Oreochromis niloticus: one gene and its partners. The protein of the gene in region 4 purifies or fractionates together with the protein of the main gene of each other region. This does not show direct contact. Links are inferred from orthologs where the notes say so. Each region holds a gene or a part of one and is shown on either strand. Other genes may lie near its edges.

Region 1 (7,368 bases), on a different chromosome or scaffold from region 4:
TTTTTACTGCAGCCAATGGACTTTGGAAGCTGTCTTGGTTTCACAGCTTCAAAATCAATCCCCCGGCACAAGTCATACAGCCACTGACTACATTAAACAAGGAAGCAGGATAAAGTTTAAGGTCCCTGTAGTACTGAAGGGTTTCCAGAATTACAAAGTTTCTTTTCTGAAGCAGAAGTTCAAGTTCAGAAGTTCAGAAATGTTTAAGGAAGTTTAAAAGTGCAAAACTACTTGTTATTACTTTAATAACACCATGTGATTATTTTCTTAAGCAAGTTATGTCACCATTATCAAAATGACAGTGTTTAAAGGCATTTCTGGCTCTCTCACCCTGTTTTTTCTCCAAAGTGCTGCTCCAACTGAGCCTTAGAGAAGCGAGTGAGATCGCCCATGTTCTCTATTCCCAGAGTTTCTGTGATTGAAGTTCCCAGCTTACCCCCCAGGTTACGGCTGCAGGGAAATAAATAATACAAGAGCACAGGGTTTAATTTGAAGTTTTAGCTGCCACTCTGTCAATGTAAGCAATGACATAACTAAACTTACATCTTGCCAACGGGGAGACTGCTGAAAAGTTCTGTCACAGAGTCCAGAGGAAGAACAGTTTGTCTGTTGGGCTTGTTCAGACCACAGGCTAGTTTAGCCAATACCTTGGAAAAGTGAGCGGTAAATGATTATCTCTGCAAACACAGTTACCGCTCTTAGACTATTAAATAGGAGTTTATCCTACCTTATTGTGTGATATTCCTGCAGAACAGCGGAAACCTGTGTGTTTCTCCACAGCTGCTCTCATTTCCTCAACAATCAGTGCTCCAACAGTTAGCTGCAGTTCTGCAGAGCTCTGCTCACCCACTGACGGGAACGTTAAAGATTCCAGCCACTGCTGGAGACCTCTGGATCGCTGTTCCTCTGAGCACAAACATGATGTTATTAGGAGGATACAGCCTGCCATTGTTTTTTAGCTGTTATTTTTCGACAGCTTTCTGTATCAACTGCAGAAACAACTCATTGGGTAACTGAAGTTAGCTTACAGCCTACCTTTATCCAGCACAGTATCCTCTGCAGATTCTTCAGCTGCAGGTGAACTTTGCGGGTACCCCTGGATGTAGGTAGTCCTCAAGAGCGAAGGTTCGATTTGTTTGTCAGTCATATTTTTCAGTCGCTGCTGGACAGCGGCAGTCAAATCCATGTAGGCCTCATCAATGCTAGCTCTCTCAATCACAGCAAAGCGAGACATGACCTCAATCACCTCCACACTCGCCTCTCTGTAACTATAAAGGGGACAGAAAGAAGTTATTTGCAGTACAGCTTTGGCCACAAGAATTTAAGGCAATTTAAAAAATAATCGTAAATTTAATTAAAGACTTAATGTTGATCGAGTGTTGATCCAAAGATTTAATGTTGATCCAATTAAAAAGAGGAAGTCTCTGGGGATGTACATGAGCAGCAGCACTTACTTTGTCAAGTCTGCCTTGCCATGAGACTCACGCACTCGTGCCACCTGGAGGTCTGGGCACAGTTTTTTTGCATCATCCACCCACATGTTCCTGGTGACACCATGGGCCCTGGCCTCGTAGCTCACAGCTATAATACTAAGAAACAATAACATTTAGTCAAGGATCACAAAACAATCAAAGTGTGAAAACATTTTAGAAGGTGTCAAAGCGGTTATTTGTGGGACATGAAGGCGGGTGAGTTGCCAACACAGAGACATCAATTCAAATGGTCAATGCAACTGAACACACGCAGTCCTGGGAACGAATTCACCAGTGGGTTACAAAAAGAGAGGGGAATGTTTAAATTCTCTGTAATCTAGTGACCATTTTGTTTGATCCAGTATTTCATTATTTCAAAATCTGCTGATCTACTGGCATTTTCTCCCCTAACACCAACTCTATGGTTTACAGAGAATGGTCTGAAAAAAGAGAAAATAAACCAGCAGTTTTCTGGGTGAAAGTGCCTTGTGCAACTAAGAGGTCAAAGACTAGACTGCTTCACGCTGATAGGAAGGCAACAGGAACTCAAATTCAAATAACCACTCAATTAAGTTATGCAAAAAAAGCATTTTTAAACACAAAAAACGATGAACCTTGAAGCAGATGGGTTACAGCCACGGAAGACCACAGCAGGTGCCACTTCTGTCAGCTAAAAAACAGGAAACTAAAGCTACAGTTCAGATGGGTTCACCAAAATTAGACAAGAGAGGACTGATAGGACAATGTTCCCTGGTCTGATGAGTTCAGATTCAGGCTGGTGGAGGTGGTGGTGGTGTAATGTTGTGGGGGATATTTTCTTAGCACAGTTTGTGCCCCTTAGTAGAAACTGAGCATTGTTTAAACACCACGGCCTACCATGTCCATCCCTTTATGGCTACAGTATAACCATGTTCTGATGGCTGTATCCAGCAGGATAACACACCAGGTCACAAACCTCAAATCATCTCAAACTGGCTTCTTGAACATGCCAGTGAGTTCACTGCACTCGACGTTTGGCTTTTACATCAACCTGTTGACTCTATGCAACAAAGAATTAAGGCAGTTCTGCAGGTAGGAGTACGAACAGGATGTACCTAAAAAACTGTCCACTGAGTGTATGCATAACAGCGTAAGGAACACCAGAAAAAAATGTTTTCGTAACGGCAGCTCGGCTAGGTGTTTCAATTGCGTCGATCACAAAAACAGCATCTCTGTGTCAGAAACTCACCTGCCTCCTTTCCACGTCTTGTACTGGGCCACCACACAGGGAGTATTCCTCAGAGCTGGATTCAGCCTCTGCTCCACCTGCACGTAAAAGCAGTCCATGTCTACTAACGCCACCACCCTCTCCTTCCCGTACTCCATTGTTAACGATGAAAATCTATCGGTGGTGTTAAGATATATGTCCGCTTCTTGGCGGGGCTGTTAATTCACAGCTGTCATCAGAACTGAAAGTTCGGTGGACTTGAACGGACCGCCAAAATACACACCGACCGCTTTGCATTTCGAGGGTTACATAAATACGTCATCAACAGTCGACGAAGAAGTCCCTTGCTAATGTCGTCACCACTGAAGAAAAACAGTTGCCTGCACACAGTGTTGCCAACTTAGCGACTTTGTCGCTATATTTAGCGAGTTTTCAGACCCCCTAGCGACTTTTTTTCTTAAAAAAGTCGCTAAAAAAGACGTGAAAGCACGTATCGCTTTTACTCTCAACAAGCAGCGGGTGCTGTAACACAGTCAGTTCTTCTTTTACTCTTTTACTCATATGCTGTTTTGTAGATCACAAGGTTTAAAACTACTTATAAACACACACACACAAAGTAACTCCACCAGAGTGCCTATTTCGGATCACTTTTGCCAGTCCAAGCCCGGGTGAAGGAGCAGGGTTGGAATTGTGACATTAAAAAAAACAATAATTGCTAAAAGAAATTTAATTTGTAGTTCTAAATAAACTCTAAATGCATTTAGGACGTTTTTTACTCACTTTATGTCTCTTCCACGATGTTATTTCTCTCTCCAACAACATAGGTTACAATTATATTAGCATGACCAATTATGCAAATTAGGTGATGACGTCATTTAGCGCCTTCTAGCGACTTTTAGGACAACCAATAGCGATTTTCCTTACTGAGGAGTTGGCAACACTGCCTGCACAGCGAAATTAGCTAGCAAGACCACAAAAGTGCAAGAAAGTGAAGTTTCAAAACATCAATATATACAAACACTATATACACAATGTGTAAGTTACAAGAAACACTGTGGGGGTGTATACAAGGGCATCCATAATATAAAGTAAGGGTGGAAGGGCATTTAGTCATTAAGGATAGTGATAAAACACTTGCAAAATATGGAAAATGCAATGTATTAATAGTGTAATTTTGAAGTATTTCGCCTTCTCCCTTTAGTGACCACCAGTGGAACTCCTGACCTTCTCTATACTTTGCCATCTACACTACATCTTCTTAACCTAGCTCTGCCCCTTATTCTTGAAAATTGGTACCAGTACACTCCTTTTTTACATTCCTTTTTCAACAGCGCCCAGGCATCCTCTCACTGTCCAAGGTGTGGGAAAACAATATGGTGAATAAGTCCACTGCCCTCTCTCCTAAACATCTCCACACTTCCACAGGTCTATCCAACGGACCAACTGCCTTTCCAGTCTTCATCCTTTTCATAGCTGCATTAGCTTCCTCCTTACTAACCCTCTGCACTTTCTCATGCGATGCTACAGTTCCCCTCTTCGGACCTTTCTCTAGATGCACAAAGGAACAGCACAACTTCTTCTGGCCTTCTCTATACTTCTCTATATTCTAAAAGCCACAGTAAACATTTTATGAATCTGTGGGCTATCCTTAAGTAAAATGAAAGAAGACCTTTTTGCAGAAACAACAAAAATGAAGAGTATAGTTCATGCAACAGTGGTAAGTAAAGAAGGTGTTTGGCTTCAAGAATGCTGAAGAACTTGTTAGAGTTACTTCAGTCTCTTTCTGAGGGCAGATGTACCCAAGATTGTTAAGATCTGATTGCTGAGGACAGAGTTATTGCATGGCAGTCTACAGAGTGCTCCAGTAAGAGGTAGAACTACAGAACTCAGTAAGAGACCATGGGTGAATATAAGTCCACCTATTCTTCTAATGACTGACATAAAAATAAACATATATAGTGAAACAACACAAATGATCTACTAATAAATTGCAGAAATAAATATATTTAGATAAATTCCAACAGATGTAGTTAGGGGCTATTGTAACTATCAAAACAGGTTTGATCCAATGGCTCTCAAATGGGAATCCTCATTAAAATCATTATCTATTCATTTGTCTCGTTGTATTGTTATAAATAATAAAATGTTAATAGATTTCAAAAAGTCAGACAAACTAGTTTATTCCTTACAGTAACCAGTGAGAGGTTTTGAACAATGTTTAACTAACACGTGACTTATAAATTAGGCAAATTATGAAATATACTTTTGATAGTTTTGGGTGAATTGCAGTCAATTGTAAAAGCCCTGAAAAGAGAAACACTGTCAAAAATATAAATAAAATGAGGAAGCAATCCAGGTTGAAATTTTCCCTGTGATAGTGAAAGGAGTCACTCACTCACAGCAGCTGTACCAACATGGTTCTTCTATATATTTATCACCTATTGCTCACTGGATTGCTGGGTAAGTAAGATAAGCCTCGAGCTGGTAAATATTTAACTTAAAGAGATGAGTCACTAGTGGTTCATCATCAGCGTTTAATATTGTGTTTAATATTTTACTGTTAGGCCATGATTTTGAATTTTAAAAGTGATACAGGGGACATTTTAAGGTATTAACTCGTATTAACTATTTTCTTTTAATTTGTTAGGAATTCACTGTGGAATTATTACAGTGAAAAAAGTGTCAGTGAAGAAACTGGGTTCTGTCTCTATCCCATGTCAATATGAGCCACTCTACAGAAATCATGTGAAATACTTGTGTAATGGATACTGGTGGTTAGTTTGCTCTCAAGAAATGAAAACAAGCCAAATGAAAACATCATGAAAGTTTTCCATCTCGAATGATACAAACCAAAGAATCTTTACTGTGACTATTAATAATGATCTCACAGTCAACAAGTATTTCTGGTGTGCTATAGAGACTGGCAATGGAAGAGATGATAAACAATATTTTCATCTGTCTGTCAGCACAGGTACAGTAAACTCTCTTATTTCAGGGTTTTAAATTCCTCGTTGATGTTTTAAACAAGGCATTTCAGTGAACTACCTGGCAGAAAAAATGGCTAATGGCTGTATCTTTTTTTCCCTTCAAGGTATGAAAAGTCTAAATGTAACCCAACAGGAAATTGTAGGTTTTGAAGGAGAAAGTATGACTGCTGTGTGCTGCTATAACTATCCAGTAGAAAAGGGAGTAATGTGGTGTAGACTGGGCAGCAGCTGTGTAACCAATCAAGATGGATCAATAGATGGAACAGCTGTGAAAATAAATGCGAGTGTCCCTAATCTTTTCACTGTGACTATGAGCGATCTGAGATCAGAGAGCAGCGGCTGGTATTGGTGTGTCATTGGAGACTTACAGATGCCAGTGCACATAATAGTTCATGAAGTTACTTCAACCGGTACGACTGCACTGCACACCAATACAAGTAAGATATTAACATAACCTTTCTGTTTTCATAAGTTGGCAAATTATCATAAAAATGGCACCACAAAGGTTTAACAAATCAGAGAAATTAAGCTTCAGGCAGTGGTGGGACACTGGAGCAATGCAACTTATCTTATGATGGTCTTATGATGTGAAAAGAATGGCTGTAAACAGTCAAATGACCTTTTTACGACACTGCTGATTTTATTTGGCTTTGATCACTTTCAAAATTCAAAAAATCCAAGTGACTGATTTTCATCTGTCTTGACATAAGCCCCTTAAAAAATAACCTGTGAATAATTTGGTAAGTTTGAAATAAAAATAAAAAACATTATCCGAGAGGTATAAATGGGTGTAATTTATTCATTCTTTGATCCAAGGAACTTCACAAGGACACTTTCAACCACTCGCCAACATTCCTCCTCCCTTACAAACATTGAACCAAATAGAGCCCAGCCAACAACCTCAATCATACAAATCATCCTCTTGTATCCATCCATCCTCTTGTATCCATCCTCCAGGCTGGAAGCTGATGCTGGAAGCCTGGAGGATGGATACAAGAGGTCTATCACTTTTAACAATTTGCATATCCCCAGTATTAGACAAAACAGAACAAAACAAAACAAAAACTAAAGATCAAATTTGCTCCTGGAAAAGTATTCATCTTGTTCAGTTTTAGAATTGGTTTCTGTTGTTTGAAAAAAGCATGTCAGTTTTATCCTCATCTACCTTTATCTTCCAATTCCACTAAGATGACGATTCTCACATCTGTCCTCATCCTACAGCTACTGATCGTTCCTGTAACATTATTCACACGGAGGTTGAAAATGCGTAGTGAGTGAGTTTTCTAATTAAATTCTGGGATAAAATACTGTATTTGTATTTTGACAGTCTTGTTATATGTTTCAGAGAACACCAGATCTGAGGGGTGTGATGCCACTGTTGTAAGTTACAGCAGTTTATTTCCCAATATTTGGTAATAAATCTATAGTCATTGCTATCGCTGGTGTAGAGTTAGCGCCATAAGAATTTGGAGAATGACTTCATTTTTGTTATTTTGCTTCAGTACACCAATACATAAAAATCAAACGGTCAAGGTGAGATTCACGTGTGGTTTCAGCTGTGATTTAAAGGGTTTAATAAAAATGTTTGCATTAACTGTTTGGGAATTACGGCTGTTGTATACATAGTCCCCCATTTTTAAAAGCTCAAACTAATTCAAACTAACATAATTTTAGATTTCAGGACTGTTTTTCTTACTTGGAT
Region 2 (7,295 bases), on a different chromosome or scaffold from region 4:
AAAGAGGGCAAATATTATGAAACGCTCACCAAAAAAAAAATAAACACCACGCAGTTTATTCATTCATAACCACATCAGTAGCATATGCCAAATACCTATTTTATATTTGGTAGGCTGAGAGAAAATACCCTTCCTGAGTTTCCCTGAACAATGCTGCTTATCTAATGAACACAATAACTTAATCATAAAAACTTTCCTTCATACAGACCATGGCTCCACAGTATAGTGGTTTACTCATTCACCTAATGAGTGAAAGATCTCCGGAGGACACACAAATCCCTTTGGGGCATCCAGTGCAAAAAATCTGTCAAATTAAATATGCAGAGCTACCGAGTATGGCAACCCCTGGTAAATACGGGAGCAGCTGGAGGATGCTTTTCTTTTACACAAACAAAATTAAGTAAAATCCAATTTTCCACTAACCAAACATTTTGTTTATTTATGTTGCCTTTTAGCCTATATCCCTCCTTAAATCATTACATTTTTACATGCACTTATGCAGGACTTAATATACTCTACTAGTACTCTTGCATAATTCACATTTCAACTTAATCCATATTTATTTATTACTGTGCCTTGGTACAACCTTTTTTAGCTGACTTTATCAGATGACTTTGTCGGAAAGTGTCCAGCTCAGAGTCCCTGAGCGTGCACAGCATTAATCAACTGCTGGTAGATCCACAGCAAAAATAATGTTTCTACAAAGACTTTTATATTAATACTGTGGTATGTTTGTACATGCATGAATGCTTCTGTTCTCACAGCTAGAGCTTTGTGTCTAAGATTATCCTTTTAGAATTAATATGCTGACATCATACAGAGTCCATCCATCCTCTTCCACTTATCCTTGTCAGGATCGCGAGGGGCTGGAGCCTATCCCAGCTACCGTAGGGCAAGAGGCATCATACAGAGTCAAAAGTAGGAAAAAACCCACTAGAAACTGGAGTTTTAAAAAGTTTAACCTCTTGGATCCTTGGGATTACTTGTACATAAGCTTTCTTCATTATTATAAACTTTTTTGTTTAAGAAGAGCACCCATGATTGCAACAGTTAAATATAATAAGACCACTTCAACGACAGATTGTGGATATCCCTTGTGAGCAGTTATTATGAGGTTGGCAGCAACTGTGATGTTCAAGGCTGATCTCTTATTCAGCCACGTTATTTTGTTTGGGGAAAACTTGGGTCCTGTGCAACTTCAGCATACCCAAAATACTCTGACATTAAGACACAGGAGAGTCTGATGGATTAGAATTAAGTAACAAAGCTACTTTTAGCTGCTTCCCTATTCATGACAGCATAACGCCACGTTTGGCAGTTTTTATGCTGATTGCCCTTCCTGACACAACCCACATGTATTTGTGTCTCTGACTGAGCCAGGGATCAATATTGATCATAAGTAAGTATTTCATTAAATTGATGTTTAGTGCTCAAATGTTGGGTGGCATGATGGTGTGGTGATTAGTGACATCACCTCAGAGCAAGAAGGTTCTGGGTTCAAATCCAGTCTGGATTCTGTGTGGAGTTTGCATTTACTCTGGCTTCCCACCACAGTCCAAAGACATCCCTTACGTTACTTGGTGAATGTGAGTCTATCTCCGTGTTAACCCTACAATAATGTGGCGATCTAGTATACCCTGCTTCTCACCATATGAATAGTATAGACAATCATTCTGTACAGTAATAATTATAGTTTTACAACTGTTTATTAATACTCACAATTGTATATCTACAATCTGTATAGTTTCATATTTCATATTTCTGTATAGTTTTCATATTTTTAATCATATTTATATCCTGTTTATAGCCTGTACATAGCTTGTAAACTCACTACAGCCTGTACATACTTATAGTTATAGCATATTCATAACATACCTTCATACCGTGTACATTGTAACATACCTATAATAGATCCATATTCTGTAATATATCTATATCACGTCTAAAGTACTTTCTGGATGGATGCAAACTGCATTTCATTGCCTTGTACTTGTGACATGTGCAATGACAATAAAGTTTAATTCTATTCTAATTCTAATTCTATTCTATTCTATTCTATTCTATTCTATGACAGCTGGGATAATCTCCAGAACTGGATAAGTGGAAGAAAATGGATGGACAAATGGAATTCAAGGGTTGTTCCAATAATGGTGAGGTCGTTCTCCAGAGAACAATAGGTGGTGATATCATGAATGTTGATTTCTAATCCGGAAAATGACTTTAACGTGTCCACTTATTTAGGTTGGCACCATAAGCTACTATGTTGATGTTGATCCCAGTAAGAAGTGATCTGCCTTTGTAGTACAGAAAACTGAGGGTTGACCCTGAAGTTTCCTGGTTAAGATGAAACCCTGCTTCACAGTAAAGGCCTCTTATGGGATACAACAGACTTCTTATTTACCAGCAGGTCAACAAGGCTCATACTGGAAGATAGCATATCAATGGAAGCAGCATGTGAGACTATATGAGGTACTTACTGTGGTATTAAACTATCAAAGCGAATGAGACATATCCCACAAGACAAACTGTCAGAGTTTAAGTTTGCATCCACAGCTGGAGCCTGTCACTTCACTTCATCTACATTGTATCTGTGTTTCCCACTTATGGCTCAGGCTACATGCACTGCTAGCTGGCTAACTTATACATCTTCTACACGACGGCTTACAAACAGCAGTTTTAAAATTAGCTCCTTCCCTGCGGGGAGAGTTTATCCTCTGAGAATTCAGTCAGCAGCGAAACCATCAGCACACAACAGTCTGTGGTATAAACAGTGTTACACAATGAGAGCACTTTCGCACAGCGCGCCACATTTCATCCCCTGGCTGCAAACAAGCAAATTAAAAAGGTAAAAGAAAAAAAGCATATTTACTTGTCGAGACTGCCTCAAACTGCTCCTGTTATTACAGCTCGACGAGAAATCGATTCATGCTGAAGCAGCTGCAAACACTCCGTCTGAACCGCAGCACAGTTCATCTACGGACATCAATGTTGACGTCCGCCATTTTTAAATGCAGGAAGTGACGTCAAAGCAGGGGAAACTGTCAGATTAAGTTTATCTAACACAAATTTATGTGACTCAAAACTTACAATAGATTAAATTATTTGCTTCAAATGATTGTTTTTTTGTTTTTCTTTTTTCATTTCTTTGCATTTTTTCATTTTAATATATATTGCCAATATCAGACAAAAACAGAGTTTGTTCGAGTCTAACGAGTTTGAAAGTCAATACTTGACCACCTTTATTCTTCAACTCAGCCTGAACTCTTTCTTCTTTTCAGTTTTCTTGTCATCTCTTCAAGTAGTCTTAGGGAATAGTTTAATAGTTTTCGAAGTTTCTTCAAGGACACTAAAAGACCTTCTTTGTTTGCTGCTTTCATTCTACTCTCTGTCAACACTACTTCAATAATGTTGATGTCCAGGGTCTTGGGAAGGCCAGTCCATGACTGATAGGTTCTATTGCAGGGTTTTTTTCAGCTATGGTTGTATTGCATTGGCATTGTGTTTAAAAATAATTATCATGCTGAAAAATTAAGCAGTTGCCAATAAGATGCTTTCCAGAAGGCATTGCGTGTTGCATTAAAATCTGGCTGTATGTGTGTTTTTTTTATGTGTTATTAATTCCAGCAAATTTGAAGAGATCTCCAACACCACTGGCTTAAACCAAATTTTGCAAAAGGCTGTAAACACTCACTGTTGTACTGCTCCCCTGACCTCTTCCAAACATACTGGTGATGGTTTGAACCAAATTTCAAATCTTGATTCATCACCCAATAAGACTTGTTTCCATTGATTTTCAGGCCAGTTCTGGCGTAATTTGCCATTTTCTCCCAGTTTCCCCTCCTTAAGAATGGCTTCCTGAAAATGTTTTTTTATAGTTAGTGATACTATTTAAAGGATGCATAAAAATCATCATCATGCTTAAACTACAGCTTGTACTTTACTTTTTCTTTCTGGCTCAAAATGACTTAATATGAATGATAAGAAACATGTTTGATTATAGGTCAACAAGCATTTCAGAACAGGTTAAATACCGGTAATCCTTTTTTGGCAGATGATCATTTAAAGCACTGGCATCTGATGAAAAGATAGGGAACTGGTATGAGGGCTGAAAAAAATCAGAAGCTCTGCCAGCGAGAACAGCAGGTCCACAACTCCACCTGAGAGAGAGGGAGAGAGAGAGAGCAGCAGGCAAGAGAAAGGAAAAGAAAGAAGTGGGAAAAAAGACTACTTGGACCAGGACACAAATTATACCTTTTTCTAATGGGCTGCTGGTAACAAACTGCTTAAAGATACAATTAAATTTGATTCTTTGCTAAGTTTTCTCTTACATGTAGACACAACAGTGTTTCATCCTTTGAGTTGGGTGGTTTTTTTTGTTATGTTTGAATGATTCATATGTCATTTTTATGTGGTTACAAAAAACAGACATTCCTCTGGCAATTCTCAGGTAAAAACACTGAATTGTAAATGAGCCGAAAAGCAGTGTATGTCCAAAAAAACACTTTAAAAGACCCCCAGAAGGCTTCATTAAAAAATTACAAGAAACTCTTGCTCATTGGAAGCAAAATATTTAAAAAAAAAAAAAAAGAAAAAAGAAGAGTCACTCAGCATTTTTGCACAGTACCGTAGGTTTATAGAGATTTCATGCAATGCCAAATTCTTTGCTGTACTGGTTGCTTATTTTCCGACCTAACCATTAAGTTTACAAGGGTACTTCTTAAGGTTGAGTAAATTTTTATTCAGTGAGGTTGCAGCAGTGGCATCACCTCTTAACCACAAGGTGGCAGCAGAGCCCGCTCTCTTTTGACAGCTGCAGCAGTGAATAACAAGTACATCACATCTGTCCGTGTCAGACACAACGCAGGAGGGAAAAATTAAACTGAAGTTTGACGAGTCTCTTTGAAGTTTACATAAAGTCAGCGACTGCCTATAAACAGTCTCTTACGTTGCGCTGATTTGGTCCAGGGGGTCTTAATGGAAGCTTGTCAAATCGCCACCTATCCCCGACTTATTTATTTATTTTAAAATATGCTTCTCAGGAGCCTCACTCTCACCCCGATCTCTTCCAAAATGTTATCAATCGACGCATCACTGACCCTTGTGATGTGCATGAACTCTGGTTTTAAATCAGGGACACTGCAGTGAGTCTGACCCGATTTAAAAATGCAGTGAGGAAGAGGAGAAGAAGGGAGCATCTTATCACCAGTGCAGAGAGAGAGAGGGAGAGAGGGAGGGAGGAAGAGTCCCACCGTGTTTCGGAGGCAGAAGAGTCCAGACCGGCGGCTTCAGAGGAGACACAGACCCACTATGTCCCGGTTATGTCCCTACCTGGTTCAGGTAGGTGAAATCATGTCTGTAAGACTGTTAAACATGCATGTGCATGCAGCTGATGATGTTGCATGTTATGACCTGTGAATGACACCGTTTTATAGCTGCAGCTGAGGACCTGGAGACAGCTGCTAAACGATAATAAAGAGTATTTAGGCAGAGCGAATATTAGCACACATTAGTGTGTGATGTTTGAGATAGCTCATTTCTGGCTCAAGCCATAGTGATTTTTTATTTTTATTTTTTGTCAAAATAGTCCAATACTTATTTCCAAAGGCTTGTTTTACTCACTTAACTTCCCTCAACTGTAGAAAACAACCACATGTATCAAAGATTATTTATTTTTTAAAATAATTACCATGTCCCCGTTGATCTTCGCTCAATTCAGTTACCAAAAAAAAATTATTAAATCAGAATACTTTAAATTTTTTCATTACCGTTGCATAGCTTTATTCATAATGGATATTAATAGATATTAATTCATTTTTAATACTTGAAGTCTTTGCATGAAGTTGATTCCCTGAATTGACTGAACACCCCCCTTCACTGGCCCTCTACTCACATGACTTAAAGAAAATAATATACCGTATTTTGTACAAGATCCAGACATGACTCTTTCATCAGCAGTTCCATGTTCCATGTTTTCGATTGGTTCACTGATATAGTGAAACACAACATGGTGACTTCTTTACAGTGTGAACTGATATTTTCTTGTAATTTAGATCATGCAGTTGTTAAATGTATTAAAACCCCTTTTGTAACTAGCTTGTTGTCCGTGGCATGAGTAATAATGACTGACTTAAACATTAAACTGCTTGTTACTCTAAAAAGCAGTAATGGAGTGCACACACAATAACATGCAGGTTGTGATAGTTTTAAATGTTCACTCACTTCTATTTTTGCATCTAAACCAACTAAATGTCAGAAAATCAACTGACTGTTCAGAAGAAAACGTAGAACAAATGGGCTTTAAATTTTAATAATTTCAAAATATAGCACTCATTATTTCATTTTTTGATAATCATGATGGATTTTAAAGCTGCTGAGACCATTAAGCAAGCATTTTGTCCTGAAACTGACACTAACTTAACACTTTTAATATGAAGTAAGAGAGCAGTAAGTGTGAACAGGATATTTCATCACCCAAAGGATCCTACGGGGGTCTTTATCAATGACTGAAGAGGTCTCTAGCTCTGTGTTAAATACACATAAAAATCGCTGAATTACAGGGTTGTAACCTCTTAAACAGGTCAGTTAAGGATGATTTAGATTTAGGTTAAATAGGGCAGCATAATTATACAGCCTTTATCTTCTCAGTTCTCAATTAATGAAATTGAACATGCAATTTTGTACATATATTTATTGTTGATTGCAGGGTATTAAATGATAAAGTTACATCATTTAAAAATTGGACCAAATTTCATTAAAAAATGTTTAATATAAAAAATGTATTTATACATACTACTTCAAACGTGGTCATGCAATTTTTAGATTATACTTGTTTATTAACACCTTAAAATACTTTTGGAGAAAAGTCAAGTTAGATTTCAAACACTTTTAATTAATAGAGATGAGACTAGTAATGGGGAGAATACAGAAAATATTGTTATAGCGTAATATCCTGAGCTTTGCTCTTATTTTTGGCACAATGTCTCCACTTTGAAATGGCATCAGAGATGAGGAATGATGCCGAGGTAGAAGCTCAACAAACAGTCAAAGGTATAAATGTAGAATCAGTTGAGACCCTCAACTAGGACAGTGGCAGCTGTCCGTGGTGCTAAAATTCTCAGTTTCCAAATAGCTCTGTGTCTTCCACGTGAACATGTAGTGTCTTTAGATATGTACTTATTCCCTCCCAAAAAGTATTTGCCTGGTTGGATCTCCTGTATATTTTTACATTTTTAGCTATGGTGTGATTGGATGAAAGATGATTGATCTGCAAGTATTTTTTCTCCTTCAGTCAATTC
Region 3 (7,256 bases), on a different chromosome or scaffold from region 4:
AGACACTCGTTTTATTCGAACATGGGTTAAAAGACAACACGTGCTTGTGACTCTAACCGTTTGAACATTGCTCTGCGTGTGGACCCTTGGACCATAAGGAGCACCCTCCAGCCCTGAAAGGCCCCTTTCAGTCTCCCACTAGCCACCTTCTCTCTCCACTGTTTGACAGGGTAGAAGGCAGCGGAGGAACCTGTGGAAATGGCCACCTCATAGGGTTCCTCTGCGAGCCAGGAGCCATTCTTAACACTGTCCAGCACGTAGTTTGGAGTTACAACCCACTTTCCTAACAAGAGACGAGCAGCAAGAGGGAAGAAATTCAATAAAACGTGTTATGTTACCTCTAGGACTTAAAAAACTTAAGAAACAATGAAGCGTTTTATGGCTACGTTAAATGTATGTAGGCTAAAATAGCAACAAAAACAAAGATCCACCGACATGAAATTCACAGCCATCATGACTCACCTGCAGCACAAGCTGCCAAAAACTTCTCACTGGACAACACCTGAGGGATTATGAGATGGGTGCAAGTGTGCTGATATACCTATAAGAAGGTAGTTTAAGGTGGTTATATGTAATCATCACAAGACATTTTTGTAAGTGGAGCTTGTCAATGATGCAAAAGTTGCTGTTTGAAATCAACAACAGATGTTCAGTGCAACTAACAGTGTTCCACTTTTAGGTGGATGCCCAGTTCATTTATTCATATTCATCATGTAAGTTAATGATTAAAAAAACACTTTCTGCAGGAAATATATTATAATGTGCCATTTTAAGATTTAACAACAAGTCATAATCACCTTTTCAAAAATAGATGAGGATGCTAGGTTGTACTATCTGATTTAGCTGCAAATCAGGGCAAAAATAATCAGCTCCCCTTTGACATTTAAAGTTTTTGTCTGAAATTTCCCAAGTGCTTCTTTAACAGCATTTCTACACTAGCTTTGCTCAAATGCTCAAAATTTGTAAAATCATGTGAAAACTGAAAGCTACCTTCCAACTTACACACAGTATAAAAACTTCAGCAAGAGTTTAAGCTGTCACAGGAGAAAGCTTCATGACAAAAACAGAAAGAAAACAGTTTAGACTTGAGAAAAAGAATTGTTGATGGACAAAGTAGGAGATGGATACAAAGTCATCACAGTGTTTCCATGTGTCTAAAGACCCCAGAACAACTTCCAAGAGACTAGTGAATGACTTAGCCAAGTTGTAAATTGTATACTCAAAGAAGACAATCATTAGACACCTGCACAGGAATGGACTGCGAGGTTGCAGATGAAGAAAAACTCCACATTTGCAGAAAGACTACACATGCTGAAAGCACATCTTTTGGTCAGATGAGACAAAACCAGGGCCAGAGAGACCCTGCGTATCTTTGGAGAAAGAAGGGTGAGGCATACAACCCAAAGAACACTATCCCCAAAGTGAAACACGGTGGTGGGAGTATTATGCTGTGTGCTTCAGTGCGTCCTGAAGTGGGAATCTCATCTCCATGAAAGGAATCATTAAAAAAAAAAAGGATATGAAGATTTTGAAAGAAAACCTTAAGCAGTCAGCAGCAGAACTGGGTCTGGTTTGCTGCTTCGTCTTTCAACATAATGACGACGCAAACCAAAGGTCAAAGTTAGCGCTATTGACTGACCTGCACAAAGGCCTAATAATTTTGACCCTCATAGTTTTGGGGTTTTGTGCAATAATTTTGGTTCTGTGTGTGAAATAAGATCCAAAATAAAACTAGGATGCTTGGAAAAGCTGTGTTAAAAAAAGATCCTTGCTGTTTAACAACACTTGAATTGAAATTCTACAAATACACTGGGGGCTAATAGTTTTGTTCTCATTTGTATAGAGGGATAATCAAAGCAGTATATAAATATAAAAATACAATTGAAAACTTTACTTGGACTGTCAAGATAAAGACACAGAACACAGACTTCCACAGAACTAATTATGATTGACAGCAAGCACAGCAAGTAATTCATTCAGTCAGCTACTTTAGGAACAAGTGCATTTCCTTTTTGATTGGTGTCTAAACACTTTCTTCATTACTTTAGTTTATGATTAGTCTCTAATTATTATGTTTTCTTACATCGCACAGGCTGAATAAAGACTAAATGCATCAGGAAGAAAAATGAAATTATTCACAAGCTGCAAACCTGTTCAGCTTGGGCACAAGTGCACGTGGCATTTCCCTAAAATCTACTGAGGGATCTCAATCTTACTCACTGAGCCACCAACGTATTTCCCACCCAGCTGCTGAATTCCCTGGATCAGAACTCTCTTCTCATCGCGGATTTTGATCCCAGAAATCTGGAAGACGTGTGTGCAGGTCTCCATCTTCGCGAAGAAACTGAAGAAGAGCCAAAATTAAGTACTTCGTTAAATTGTAGGAGACAATAAGTTAAGATAGATTGCATCATTCATTGGCCAATATAATGTTGCAGTTCTTGTTTGACTAGACGACTTAGATTGTTTCCACGATAAGCTTTCACTCTTGGTACACCAGGAAGAACAATGTACTGTTCAAACTGCACATCAAGGATATTAGCGTTTACAAAATTCATCAAAAAAAGTCAATACTTACGCAAATCGTGACAAAATTGAATTCAACTGATAATTAACTAAGGCTTGCTGGCATATCATTTGCTTTGCAGCGTCAGAGTAGACTAACTAAGAAGAAATAAATAAACAAGAAAAAATATCGGTTCTTTTCTATTCAATAAGCAATGTCAACTGTTTTAATGGCACAGCTGATCAAGTACCTCGGTCATACCACCAGTGGTAACTTCCAATTACACCCGGGCGCGCCAAACTCTCGTCACTGACATAAACATCCAACAAAGTGAATAAACTTCGACCAGTGTGTGGCTACTTTATCCGAAGCTACATTAACCGTCCCAAACAAAAATCCATGGCGCATTCGCTCTTTACATAACGGCCAAACGATAAGTTTAATGACAAAAATTACACGCGAGTACACCACCCAACTTGCAAGGTTGAGAAGCTTTATGGAATCCAATTGTTTTGGAAAGACAGGGGGGGAATCTCTCATATCGTAACATTTTTAACATGCATTGTCAATAACAAACGGCTATATACTTGATTTAAAAAAGACGTCAGAATATATTAAATATATGTTTTAAATAAAATATCATCTTTGATATGTAAAAATTATGCTATTAATTCCCGAATGCGAAAGCGTTTCCCTACCATTTGATTCGTCAGTTGGAATTTCCCACCAAGCGGAAGTTTTCATAGAGCTACTTCCAGGTTGTTGTCACGGACGCTTTCAGTCCCCGGAAATCGCCAAAAATAACTAGATGTTGTGCAGCAGTGGTTGAGTAACGGGGATATTTATCGATAGATAACCAATAAAAGTGAAATGCGACTTCTGCCATATCGGCTGCCCGGGAAACTGTGTACATAAACTGCTTAGTGCAATATTTGGTGACAGCGGTAGATATCCTGTCATAGTAATGCAATATCATATTTTTATTGGCTGTTGAATTGTCTCGGTTTTTGTTATTAGCTACAAATAGCTGTCGCAGACAGATATCAGCATGAAGTGACTACAAATGATGTCGGTCACATTTTCCCCGCCGGTAATGGATTAACACCGGATGGATTAAGTAAGAGCTTTTGTAAGGTAGGACACGCATAACATGCAACGCTGAGTCAGTCGAGTGGTTTCATTCGGGTTTTTCTTGTTTTATGCGACACACGAAACGGCCTTTTTTAAGATACAGATAAACTGTCAAAATAAGCAAATGCAGTACCACTTCCTTGCATGCTGTGAGCTGAGAGGTCTGTGTGTGGCTGTATGGCAGGAACTACGACAAGCAGGTAAAAGTCAACAGTCTCAGCAGGGCCTGTCTGTATTCTTTGTGGTTTTCTTTCATTATCAAAACAACAATATGGCTAAGTCTTTGCTTTGTAATCATAAAATTATAATTAATAACGAGAGGAAAATTCTGTTAATAAGTTAATCATTAATTGATAAATGTTTTGGCACAGTTTGGTTTTAGTGTGTTAACTAGTTACAGTTGCTTATTTTGCTTTTAGATGAGGTTTTATAAATATGATAGGCAGTCTTTATCCCTTTCTTTTGTTGTATGGATGAAATTATTAGGATGTAAAAAAAAAAAAAAAAAGAAAAAAAGAAAAAAAAAGTGTGATCTGGAAGGTCAGAATGTGTCAGTGCTTGGCCAAACACCCCCATAAAGAGCAAGTGACAGTAACCAGCTCAACTCTTACGGTGATCAGCTTCTATCCGTCGAATCCTGGAAATGAGTCTTGTAACATTTACAAACCCAATCTGGACAATAGGAAAACTGTGTGAAATGTCAATAAAAAACAGATGATGATACATGATGATTTGTAAATCACATAAACCCACATTTTTGTTTTATGAAAGAGCATAGAAAACATATCAAATGTTAAACTGAGAAATGTATCATTTAAAGAAGAATGAAAAGGTCATTTTGAATTTGATGACATCAACACATCTCAAAAAATTTTGGTACAGGGTCATGTTTACCTCTGTGTAGCATCCCCTCTTCTTTTAACAACAGTCCATAAATGTTTGGGAAATGATGAGAGATGCTGGACTTTTGGGAGAGGAATGTTGTCCCAGTTTTATCTGACAGAGAATTCTGGCTCAACAGTCTTCTTTGTTGTATTTTTTTTATTTCATTATATGCCAAATGTTTTCAGTTGCTGAAAGGCCTGGTCTGCAGGCAGTTCCGCACCCAGATTCTTCTATTTTGAAGTCATGTTATTGATGTCATAGCTGCAGTATGTAGTTTTCTTGGGGTTAGGGTTTGGGACATATGTTGGTCTAAAACGTGTATATACCTTTCAGAATTAATGGTGCCTCTCTAGATGTGTAAGCTGCCAATTCTATAGGTACTAATGCACCTCCATAACAGCAGGCATACAGGCCTTTGCAGTTAACATTGTTCTTTTTTGGGCATTTAAAAAAGAATATTGGATTGTGGAGTAGTGAAGATAATCAGGAAAGTAGAGACAGAGAGGGGGAAGACATGGTGCACAGGTTGGACTCAAACTTGGACCTGTGCCCAGCACTCCAATGAGTTGGCATGTGGTCACCTGCTCACCCACTGAGCTAAAGTGGCACCTGAGGAACAGTTCTCTGAAACTTCACAATTTGTACACAGAGTTTTTTGCAGATTGGTGAATTTCTGCTCATCTTCTGAGAGACTCTGCTTCTCTCAGATGTTCATTTTATACCCATCCATGTTACTGAACTGTCGCCAGTTAACCAAGCTGGTTGCAAATTTTCCTTTTTCTTTTTAGTATCATTTACTTTGCTAGCCTTTTGTTGCCCCCATCTCAACTTTTTTTCTTTAAGAGATTGTTGCCATCAAATTCAAAATTAACTAATATTTTTCTTGAAATTGTACATTAGATCAGTTTAAACACTTGTTATTTCCTGTTTTCTACTGTGAATAAAATATAGGTTTATATGATTTATAATGCACTGAACACAGTTTTTGTTGGGATCCAGAACAGCAATTATTACCATCATTATCATTATTATTATTATTATCATTATTATTATTATTATTATCAGAGGTCAAATGTGACATGATATTGAATGCAAACTATAATGTGATATTCAGTATCATTTTCTAAATGTTGCCAATACCCACAAAGACAGCAGAATTTTAAGCATGATTTTAAAGATAAAAGAAATTGAAAGTTTGACCTTATTTGATGTTGAAGAAGAGGTCAGAAGTTCAAACTAACTTGATATTTAGAATCCCCACATATCATTCCCTAAATTGTTTTTATTATGTTGTCAATTCAAACAATGGCATTAAGAAACCATTTTAAATAGCTCTGTATAGCAATATAACGTTCACCTTCAGATCAGTCTATTGACCTTGAAGGAGAGGTCAGAAGTCAAATGTAACGTGGTATTTTAAATCTTTATGTTGTAATTTCTATAGATTTACAATACACACCACACTTGTAAAGATTATAGTTTATATAAGGCCTTATGCAAGTTATAAGGCTTTTTATCCATTTTCAACCAGTGAATCATTAAGTTGACCTTGAGGACCTTGGTGGATGTAAGCCAAATTTCAATAGATTGTTAACACGACTCAACTCTACACCATTACAAAGTTTAAACTTTTCAAACTGCCAAACTGTTTACAGACAGAATGACCCGGGCTTGCAAGTGCTACCAAAAAAATAACCTCTTTGTGTGAGGTAATAATCATCATCATCATCATCATCATCATCGTCATATTTTCAGTTAATTTTCTCCATCTTAAGATTGTCATTACATGCCTTTTTTTCTTAAGTCTGACAGCCACTTTTCTGAGTCGCTTCCAGACCTTTTAAAGCAGGAAGCTGGCACAGTGGGTTTCATCTCTTATTACACTTCTCTCAGCTTCTGAGATGGGACCCAGTTTATTAGGGATTTACAGATGTGCAACCCTGGGTATGTTTAAGGGAGTAAACCATGATGATCCAGCTTCTATCAGTTAGAACCAGGTTTTATTGGAGCCCCAGTTAACAAACTGACATTGGAAAACAATAATTCTGATAAATGATCATTTATCTATGAGTTAAAAAGTGGTGTAAAAGCAAAAGCAATTGCTAGTACTAACCTCTCAAAGGTAATGATTTTTCATGTTTGTTTGTTTTTTTTCCTGCAACATATATCAGCCAGTTTTAATCATTTGCATTCATCCAGTTTAAATCATATTAATATATTTGCTTTTGTCTCATCTTTGTCATTTGTACAGTAATCATGTTTCAACATTCAGTCTTTTTGTGCATGTGCACTAAATGCATCTTTAGGATCGCAGTATTTAAGTTTGCTGAACTCATGGCATTTGCAATAAGCTAAGATATATGATCTGCTCCAGTGTCACAATATTGTCTTTTTTTTTTAAAGGGTTGTAATTGACTCATTGCTCAGGGTACTTTAATACTGTTGAATGATGGTAACTACTCAACAAAACAACAACAAAAACAAGTAATATTTGGTTATTGAGGAGATTGGGAAGTCATGTATTATTCATTCCCTCTGTGTAGGCTAATCACATAGGCATTTTTTAGGTTGAGGAAAAAGTTGTTGCGTTCTGAAATCTGGATGGTTTAACACAGCATATTTTAGGAAGATATTGTATCCACATATTTCCCTATAGCAAAGACAAAAGTGACCAATACATTTTTACAAGAGTTGTGCCTCTTACAAAGCCAGTGATAAGGTAGACAGTCAAGAT
Region 4 (7,093 bases):
AGATCTGCTTCTGTCATTTGCTAAAAGAAAAAGAAGTGAGATATGAAGAAATTCTGCCTATAGGGTCCAAAATCCAGTGATATTTACAATTAAAGTTGAGCGAGACAATGTTTAAGTGATGTTCTTCAGTGAATTACTTAAATAATTTAATCAATATTTACTGATATTGATTAAGTCTCTTTAGGTAATGTCCTTAATTATTATGTAATTCCATTACAAGTCATGGTCATACTTACTGTATTGCAAACTGGACACTGGAGCTTGTAGGAAAGAAATTTCCGGATGCACAAAGAACAAACTGCAAAATAAAATGCAAACACAACGTTTCGGTATATTTAATCAATTACAAAAAAAGTAAAGTGGTACCCATTTAATCAGGTTGTCCTCCTCTCCACTACCAGTAAAGTTAGTTCATGTCAGCCCGTTGACATTTTATCACTCTGAACTATTTGACGTGTGTGACAGTTTTTAATTAAGCAAATTGTGAAATCTGAAGAGTGACAGAGAGAGGGTGAAGTGTTAAGAGAAGATGAGAAAAATAATATGATGTGTGCAGCTCTACAGTAAACCATTTTAAATCGTTAAAAATAAAACAATAGAAATGTAATGTGTGCCCGTCAATGTTGCGTTATGGTAGACGATCAAAAATAATTAATGTAAATATACTTGGTGATCTGCCTCTGCAATGTGTGGGATATAGTGCATAAACCAACCAAAGGACAGCTGATTGTGCTTCAAATTCAGCTTTTCTGAAATCATTTCAGCTCAATTTTGCTCGTTTCAAAAATCCACTCAGTGTTCTTCCTTTTATTTGCATGAACATCTTTTATGACTGCATCTGCACTGCTATTACTTACAATTGTGTGAGCATTTTGTCATCATTGAAATATTGAGAAAGTCGAAGCAAATAGGACACCGAAGCAGCGCATCGACATTCTGTAGATGGGAGAGAGAAAAAAAAGAGCTTAAAATCAACAAATACCTGGCAATAACAACAACAACAACAATATATTTTACCTACTAAAAGTATGGCTGGCTCAAAGCATCCGTGCATGAACCTTTGCACTTTTAATCATATATTATTTTAGGATGAAAATAAATTTAAAAAGAGATTCAGGATAGCAAAAGTTGACAGATGAAGATGTTACTCACTGTATGATAAATAAATGTAGTACTCTAGCGTTGGTGAATGTCCTCGTTTAGCAAAGGATTGCCCATACATTTCCATGCAAAGGATATCATTTCCTAAAACCAGTGTATCCAACTAAATAACAGGAAACTGTCTAACCCTCCTTTCTCATGTAGAATGTTCTCTTGTAAGAATGTTCAGGGTTACACATCTTTTTTTTTATGTAATGTTTGCATAGCATCCAAAAATACAAGTTGTCCTTTCTTTTCTGACCGCAGACAATACTGTGCACACATTCTGAGTCATCCCTCATGTCTTTATTTTTTGCTTCCATGGAGCCAGGCTTTCATGTGATTTTTTTTTTTTTTTAAACTGTGTTGAGCAATAGACTCCAGACTTTCTGAAGGCCTTTCAAATTTTCCTCTGGTCATTCACAGCTTTGTCTCTCATTTTCAGAGGAATGTTTTACTTTTCTTCTTCATTTTTAAGCCACTTAATATTGACCTATGAATAAACCAAACATAAAAATCCCACATAATTCAAGGGATAAAACAGATTTGTTTCTGCAAATTGACAGATAAATTACCACAGAACCAAATTTAAATTGCATATTTAGGCACAATGTTAGCAGCCTGCTGGATAAGGTCATAATTTGCTCCCATTTCTTAAGCTGAATCTATGAAAAATTATAATTATAATTTTATATAGCACTGTTCTACTGTAAGTGCCTTCTATCCAACATTCACACGCCAATGGTTACATCAGCGAGCAACTTGGGGTTAGTATCTTGCCCATACAGACTATAAGAGACAGGGATCAAACCACCAACCCTCTGATTATTAGATGACGTCCTAAGCTACAACCCACAACAAAACAGTATGTTTGCACCAACTACTCACTTTCCAAACCACTATTAGGAAAATGAACAAGAAGAGGTCAAAATTAGAACTGGCAGGTAGGGGTGGGAGCTATATCCTCAAGATGATAACATAAAGGAAATTTGCAATAATATTTCTGACAATACACCAACAAAATAAAAACTGTATGCCCTTTTATTGGTGACTGCAGCTTCCAGGCTAGTGCTAGTGTCTCCTCCTTGCATGCCTTTATAGCCTTGTCTTACTCAATGGTGTTTTTGTAGTGAAACAACATCGTTATTTCCACCTTTATCGGGATTAGTTTTCTTGCACATTTGCAAATTATTGCGCTTTGCTGGCGATTGTTCAATACCCTTTTTTTTTTTAAACTGAATCATGTAAATCGTCTCTTGCTATGTTTAGGCTAATTTTGTTGTGTACCAGAAAGTAAAGGCATGCTGTGGTTCTATCACTGATACTGTAATATGACACAGCCATCTACAGCAGATGAACAGTAACAGATACGAGGAGAAGGGAAACCCAGCGAAGACCTGACGCAAGACCCGTGAGATTAGTTTCTTTTGATGTTAAGGAGCAAGGGGTTCTAGCTCGTGTGCTGTGATCAACATTAAAGTTAAATTAGACTGACTTCTGTCATTGTTGCACTGTATTTAAAGGTTAGCAAACGTTTCATTACTAACTGTAAGCACGTCAGTTATTCACGTGAGTTATAGAGAAAAGATTGAACGAATGTGATGTAAGTGTAACTGCTGGGGTTTTCAGTTAGCTGGGGGCTAACAGCCAGCATGTCAACACAACATTTGAAATCAAACAAAGCTACAACCTACTTTCAGACATGCGAGACTAGGTGGTAGATCCGCTTCCATCTCGAAGGCCATTTTCTCCGAAATAACGCGCAGATTCTTGCCAAAGTTAGCCTCAGCACTTTTTTTTTTATTCGGCGCTCAGCTGTGAGAGTCCCGCTCACAGACCGGGATGCGTCTGACGTCATTTGACAACTTCCGCTGAGCCACAAATATGTAAAGATTGTAGCTGCGCTCGTCACTCAGTCAGAGTCCGGGTTACATTGTTTCAGGTTTAAGTTAGAGGCTGTCTTTATTGTTTAGACTTAAAGGCATAGCAGCACTTGTGCTGCCTCGTACCTTTCTACAGGTGCAGATTCAAGAATATCACATTTGATATACATGCATTTTATACACAATGTTTTACTGTTTGACCAATCATAGAAAATAACAACAAAACAAGGCTTTTTTTCCAGTTAAAGTTTGACAGTGGGAGCAATTTTTTCCAGAATAATTACAATATATGATGGACAGCAGCTTTTTTTAAGCTTTTGTCTGTCTCTTTTTCTGATGTACTTTGTTATATGATTTTATAAATAACTTCCCGTTTCTACTGAGTTTAATATCTTTAATGTCAAGCTACAGTATAATTTAGCATATTAACAATATACAATACACATGTACTAATAATTTTAACCAGCTTTAGTTATTTTGTAGCAGGACTTTGCAGGACTCCAGTGTAAGATGCCAAAATCAAGCCCTTTCAGTTGTACTCATTGAAGCAGCAGAGCCCCGGCCAGATGCAAATCCAGCAAATCCCCACTCTAGCAACCTCTTAGCAATTCCAGCCCCTGCAGACACCCACCCAGAGCCCTCCTCTCGTTTCCACCTCCCAACCCCAGAGCCAGGATCTGGCCTTCACCAGCAGGAACAGCTTTATTCTGGACAATCAATTGATCTCTTCTTTCTCTCCTTGGCCATCTCTCTTCAACCGACAGAAGTGGTGGGGGAGGATGGTGTGGTCTGGGAGCAGGCCATGCATAGGGGGGTCTTAGCTGATGGCACTGAGAGACACGTGCAGCAGGCCCCTCTTATAAAACAAAAATGATGCTCACAGAACGTAACCTGAAAGCAGTTTATGTTACCGGTAACCTGACATTCTCTATCACCATGTTTCAGGTCAATGTAAGCTCACCGGTATATTATGTAAAATGCTGGATGTTTCACCTCACATTGAATGAGAGGTGAATCACCTCCTCAAAACTTAAAGAAGTCCAGTCACTTTCATTCCAAGCTCCTTAAACTACCATGACATGGATGACAGAGAACTTACACACACATTGTGTAATGCTCACTCACGTTCACATTCAGGAGATTGTTAGACTCTCTGTATCAGGAAAAGGTATGTGTGTTGCTGTTGTACTTAACAGTCCTGTGATAGCCACTTATGACTATATGTATATATTAATGAGGCTATGTTGCACATCTGTTGCTATTATGCAATGACATAAGATACCTCTTAGTAATATACAGCACATTTGATGCATAATTTGTGACATCAACAAATTTACCACTGGAATAAATCAGTTTAATTTATATTATGGATTAAACATGAAATACATGAGAAATTTTATATGAAAAAAAAAATCAGTGGACACTGAAGGATCCAAAAGTCATAAAGATTAAGTTTTTCTGGCTCCAGTGGAGGGAGCTAATAGGAAAGACAGCCACTGCTAACTCCAACCAGGGAATCTGACAGTGGAAAATGACTATTACAAAATAAATGACCTACTTGTGGTGGATGTAAAAGGACAGGCTCTTCTTTTGTGGTGTCCACACCATGACAGACTTGTGTTTTCAGATGACACTAACACAAGTGATTCTGGATGACAAGTGTAGCATGAAAAAAATGGTACAACCAGTTCTTAGCTTGCCTCATGTTTTATTATAATAGTTATTCATGCCTTTGGCAGTTGTTTTCAGGACATTGATGGGAAAGAAATAAGTTAATCTTGTTCTTACAGTGGAGAATGCTCAGCAGATTTTTCGGAGGCTTTAAATGCAGACAATGAATATCATTTCCCTTATTGAACTTTAGACTAGTAAGTGCTTACCAGAGATCGAACAATAACCCACGTAACATGCAGTGTAAACCCAAAGAAGTTAGCACAACTTCAATAAATTAATGCAATCGATTGCCCTAAGGTTTTTAAGTTTATGAACTTAAAAGTTGAAGCTTATAAGAACTCCAATATTTTAATTACATTTGACTAAAAGTAAAATGTTTAATGATTATATTCACAAATATTTATTAAATACAACTTAAAGTCTTGATTTGTGTCTCTAATGCGAATAAGGTGGCATAACTTAAAAGGAATGAGTACAACAGAGTCACTTTTTGAGTTATGAAAACTGCGTATTTATTGTTCACTTTCATCATCTTTTTTAATTAAACAATAGTCAAACATCAACATTGAAAACTCCAAAACAAGTCATACAAAACTATTTGTATAGTAAACTATATTTAAGAATTATTAAAATAAATCATTTTAAAAAGACTTTTAAGTGCTAAAGACATGGTGTGTGCTTTTGAATATCTCAGTAGCAGATTCGATTCATTACACTGTAAACTGTTGAAACTCTAAAATATACACATACCACTGTCCTGGTTCTGTTATTTGTTAATACCTGTTTGGTTAACATTCATATTCAAAACAGTGACTATTAGAATTCTATTTCAGTCCAGTTATTGCAACAAAACAATGAAAATAACCCCACCAAAAAACAAAACAAGACACTATGCTTGGATACAGTGATCCGAACACTTGAGTCTCTAAGTTGGGGAACAGTTTACCAGCTTCCAGACTACTGTACTCTGATGTAGTGTAAAGATCACTCCAATCATTATGAAGAAGTTCATCAGCAGTTCTTGGGAGACCTCCATAAAGTTGTAACGGACTAGGTCGTTGTCATGGATTACTATAACAAAAAAAGAGGAGGTTCAACAGGCTCGTCCTGAATGAGTGTGAGTGTGTGATCGCAAATTAATCAACTATTTCACAAGATGATTTTATGTCAAATCATCTCTCCAATTCATGATCACTAGTAGTGACCCAGACGATTCTGCCAATCATCTGCTGTAAATCTTTGCATCTTTGCTGTGTTTTATACACTTAACTGAATGCACTTAGACTGAATCGTGAAGGTTTGGTTAACGTTTTTCTTTAAGTAATAATGTTTAAAGAATCCACAGAGCAAGAGACGCAGTGAGAATATATAAACTCCACACAGAAAGGTCCCAAATTCAAATACAGGACCTTCTCGCTGTGAGGCGACAGTGCCATTAACTCCACCATGGTTAACAAAAAGTTGAGCAACTCTTCCAACTCTGACATTTCGCTCTGACTGTGTTTTACTTTGCCTCTTATGGGTGTACTGTACCAGCAGACAAAATAAAATTAGCCCTGTCAGGCAGCTTTAGCTTCAAAATAACAGAAACTGGTATCTGCAGAACAGACAAACACAAAGTAAATGCTTTTCACTAATAAGTCATGAGATAAGATGCTGACCTTGGAAGTAAAGCCACTGCTTCGATAAAGAGACATTTCCAATTTGATCAGTACAACACAGGGCTGGATTTGACCTGCCAGCTGGCAGTTTGTAGCTTGTGGCCATTCCAAGCCACAGTGTCATTGATCATGTATCCTTAACAAGGCACTAAGACCTTTGTAATGCTGCACTTTGGGCTTAATTGTCCCCAGGACATGCATATATGTTGCTCTTAAATCTGAAGCTCAAGTCTGAAAGGACAGTTTCAACTATCCTTGTGTAAAATAGCTGCCATTATAAACCGGTGTCTGTTTTGTAATCATTGCAGTTTGATTAAATTCTGTTGTAATGGTTCCCTGCTGTTATTTGTCAGATGGCTCCAGCTTATATAGAGAAAGTCAGTCGAAGTGGAAAGAATACAGTCAGAGTCTACATCAAAATTCTGATCATGGGGCAACTTTTTTGGATTTGAATTGGATTATTTTGGGATTTCAGCCTTAAATGCAAGGATATCAAGCAAATAACAATGAACACAGTTTAACCTGAAATCTTTGTGATGACTGAAAAAACTCACTAATAATTCAGAACTCTTACAGCTTACTGGACTCTTACAGCCGCTGTATAAAAGATATTCAATGATTTAATGACCACCTTTATATACACAGATGTTGAGCATTAATCACAGGAAGTGTCATGGGAAAAGGTCATACCTCTGTAATAGGTTGCTATCTTATTTTTTCTTCATATATACATCT

Evidence for each region.
Region 1: the proteins of rad18 (region 4) and polh purify together in Homo sapiens (affinity purification with western blotting; 7 studies listed by BioGRID, with this or other methods). This does not show direct contact. The link is inferred for Oreochromis niloticus from reciprocal best matches to the Homo sapiens genes RAD18 and POLH.
Region 2: the proteins of rad18 (region 4) and shprh purify together in Homo sapiens (affinity purification with western blotting; 3 studies listed by BioGRID and IntAct, with this or other methods). This does not show direct contact. The link is inferred for Oreochromis niloticus from reciprocal best matches to the Homo sapiens genes RAD18 and SHPRH.
Region 3: the proteins of rad18 (region 4) and slf1 purify together in Homo sapiens (affinity purification with mass spectrometry; 4 studies listed by BioGRID and IntAct, with this or other methods). This does not show direct contact. The link is inferred for Oreochromis niloticus from reciprocal best matches to the Homo sapiens genes RAD18 and SLF1.

What each region holds. Positions count from the first base shown.
Region 1 is NC_031978.2:15,456,888-15,464,255, forward strand, and holds the start of polh (DNA polymerase eta), read right to left. Parts: upstream 3,014-7,368; 5' UTR 2,838-3,013; coding exon 2,701-2,837; intron 1,590-2,700; coding exon 1,455-1,589; intron 1,269-1,454; coding exon 1,036-1,268; intron 907-1,035; coding exon 728-906; intron 648-727; coding exon 544-647; intron 451-543; coding exon 331-450; intron 88-330; coding exon 1-87. UniProt on the Homo sapiens protein: DNA polymerase specifically involved in the DNA repair by translesion synthesis (TLS). Due to low processivity on both damaged and normal DNA, cooperates with the heterotetrameric (REV3L, REV7, POLD2 and POLD3) POLZ complex for complete bypass of DNA lesions.
Region 2 is NC_031983.2:20,481,470-20,488,764, forward strand, and holds the start of shprh (E3 ubiquitin-protein ligase SHPRH), read right to left. Parts: upstream 3,017-7,295; 5' UTR 2,870-3,016; intron 1-2,869. UniProt on the Homo sapiens protein: E3 ubiquitin-protein ligase involved in DNA repair.
Region 3 is NC_031977.2:14,783,338-14,790,593, forward strand, and holds the start of slf1 (SMC5-SMC6 complex localization factor protein 1), read right to left. Parts: upstream 3,027-7,256; 5' UTR 2,766-3,026; coding exon 2,757-2,765; intron 2,665-2,756; coding exon 2,579-2,664; intron 2,345-2,578; coding exon 2,221-2,344; intron 542-2,220; coding exon 463-541; intron 284-462; coding exon 58-283; intron 1-57. UniProt on the Homo sapiens protein: Plays a role in the DNA damage response (DDR) pathway by regulating postreplication repair of UV-damaged DNA and genomic stability maintenance.
Region 4 is NC_031970.2:22,246,689-22,253,781, reverse strand, and holds the start of rad18 (E3 ubiquitin-protein ligase RAD18), read right to left. Parts: upstream 3,022-7,093; 5' UTR 2,886-3,021; coding exon 2,835-2,885; intron 937-2,834; coding exon 858-936; intron 299-857; coding exon 237-298; intron 21-236; coding exon 1-20. UniProt on the Homo sapiens protein: E3 ubiquitin-protein ligase involved in postreplication repair of UV-damaged DNA. Postreplication repair functions in gap-filling of a daughter strand on replication of damaged DNA.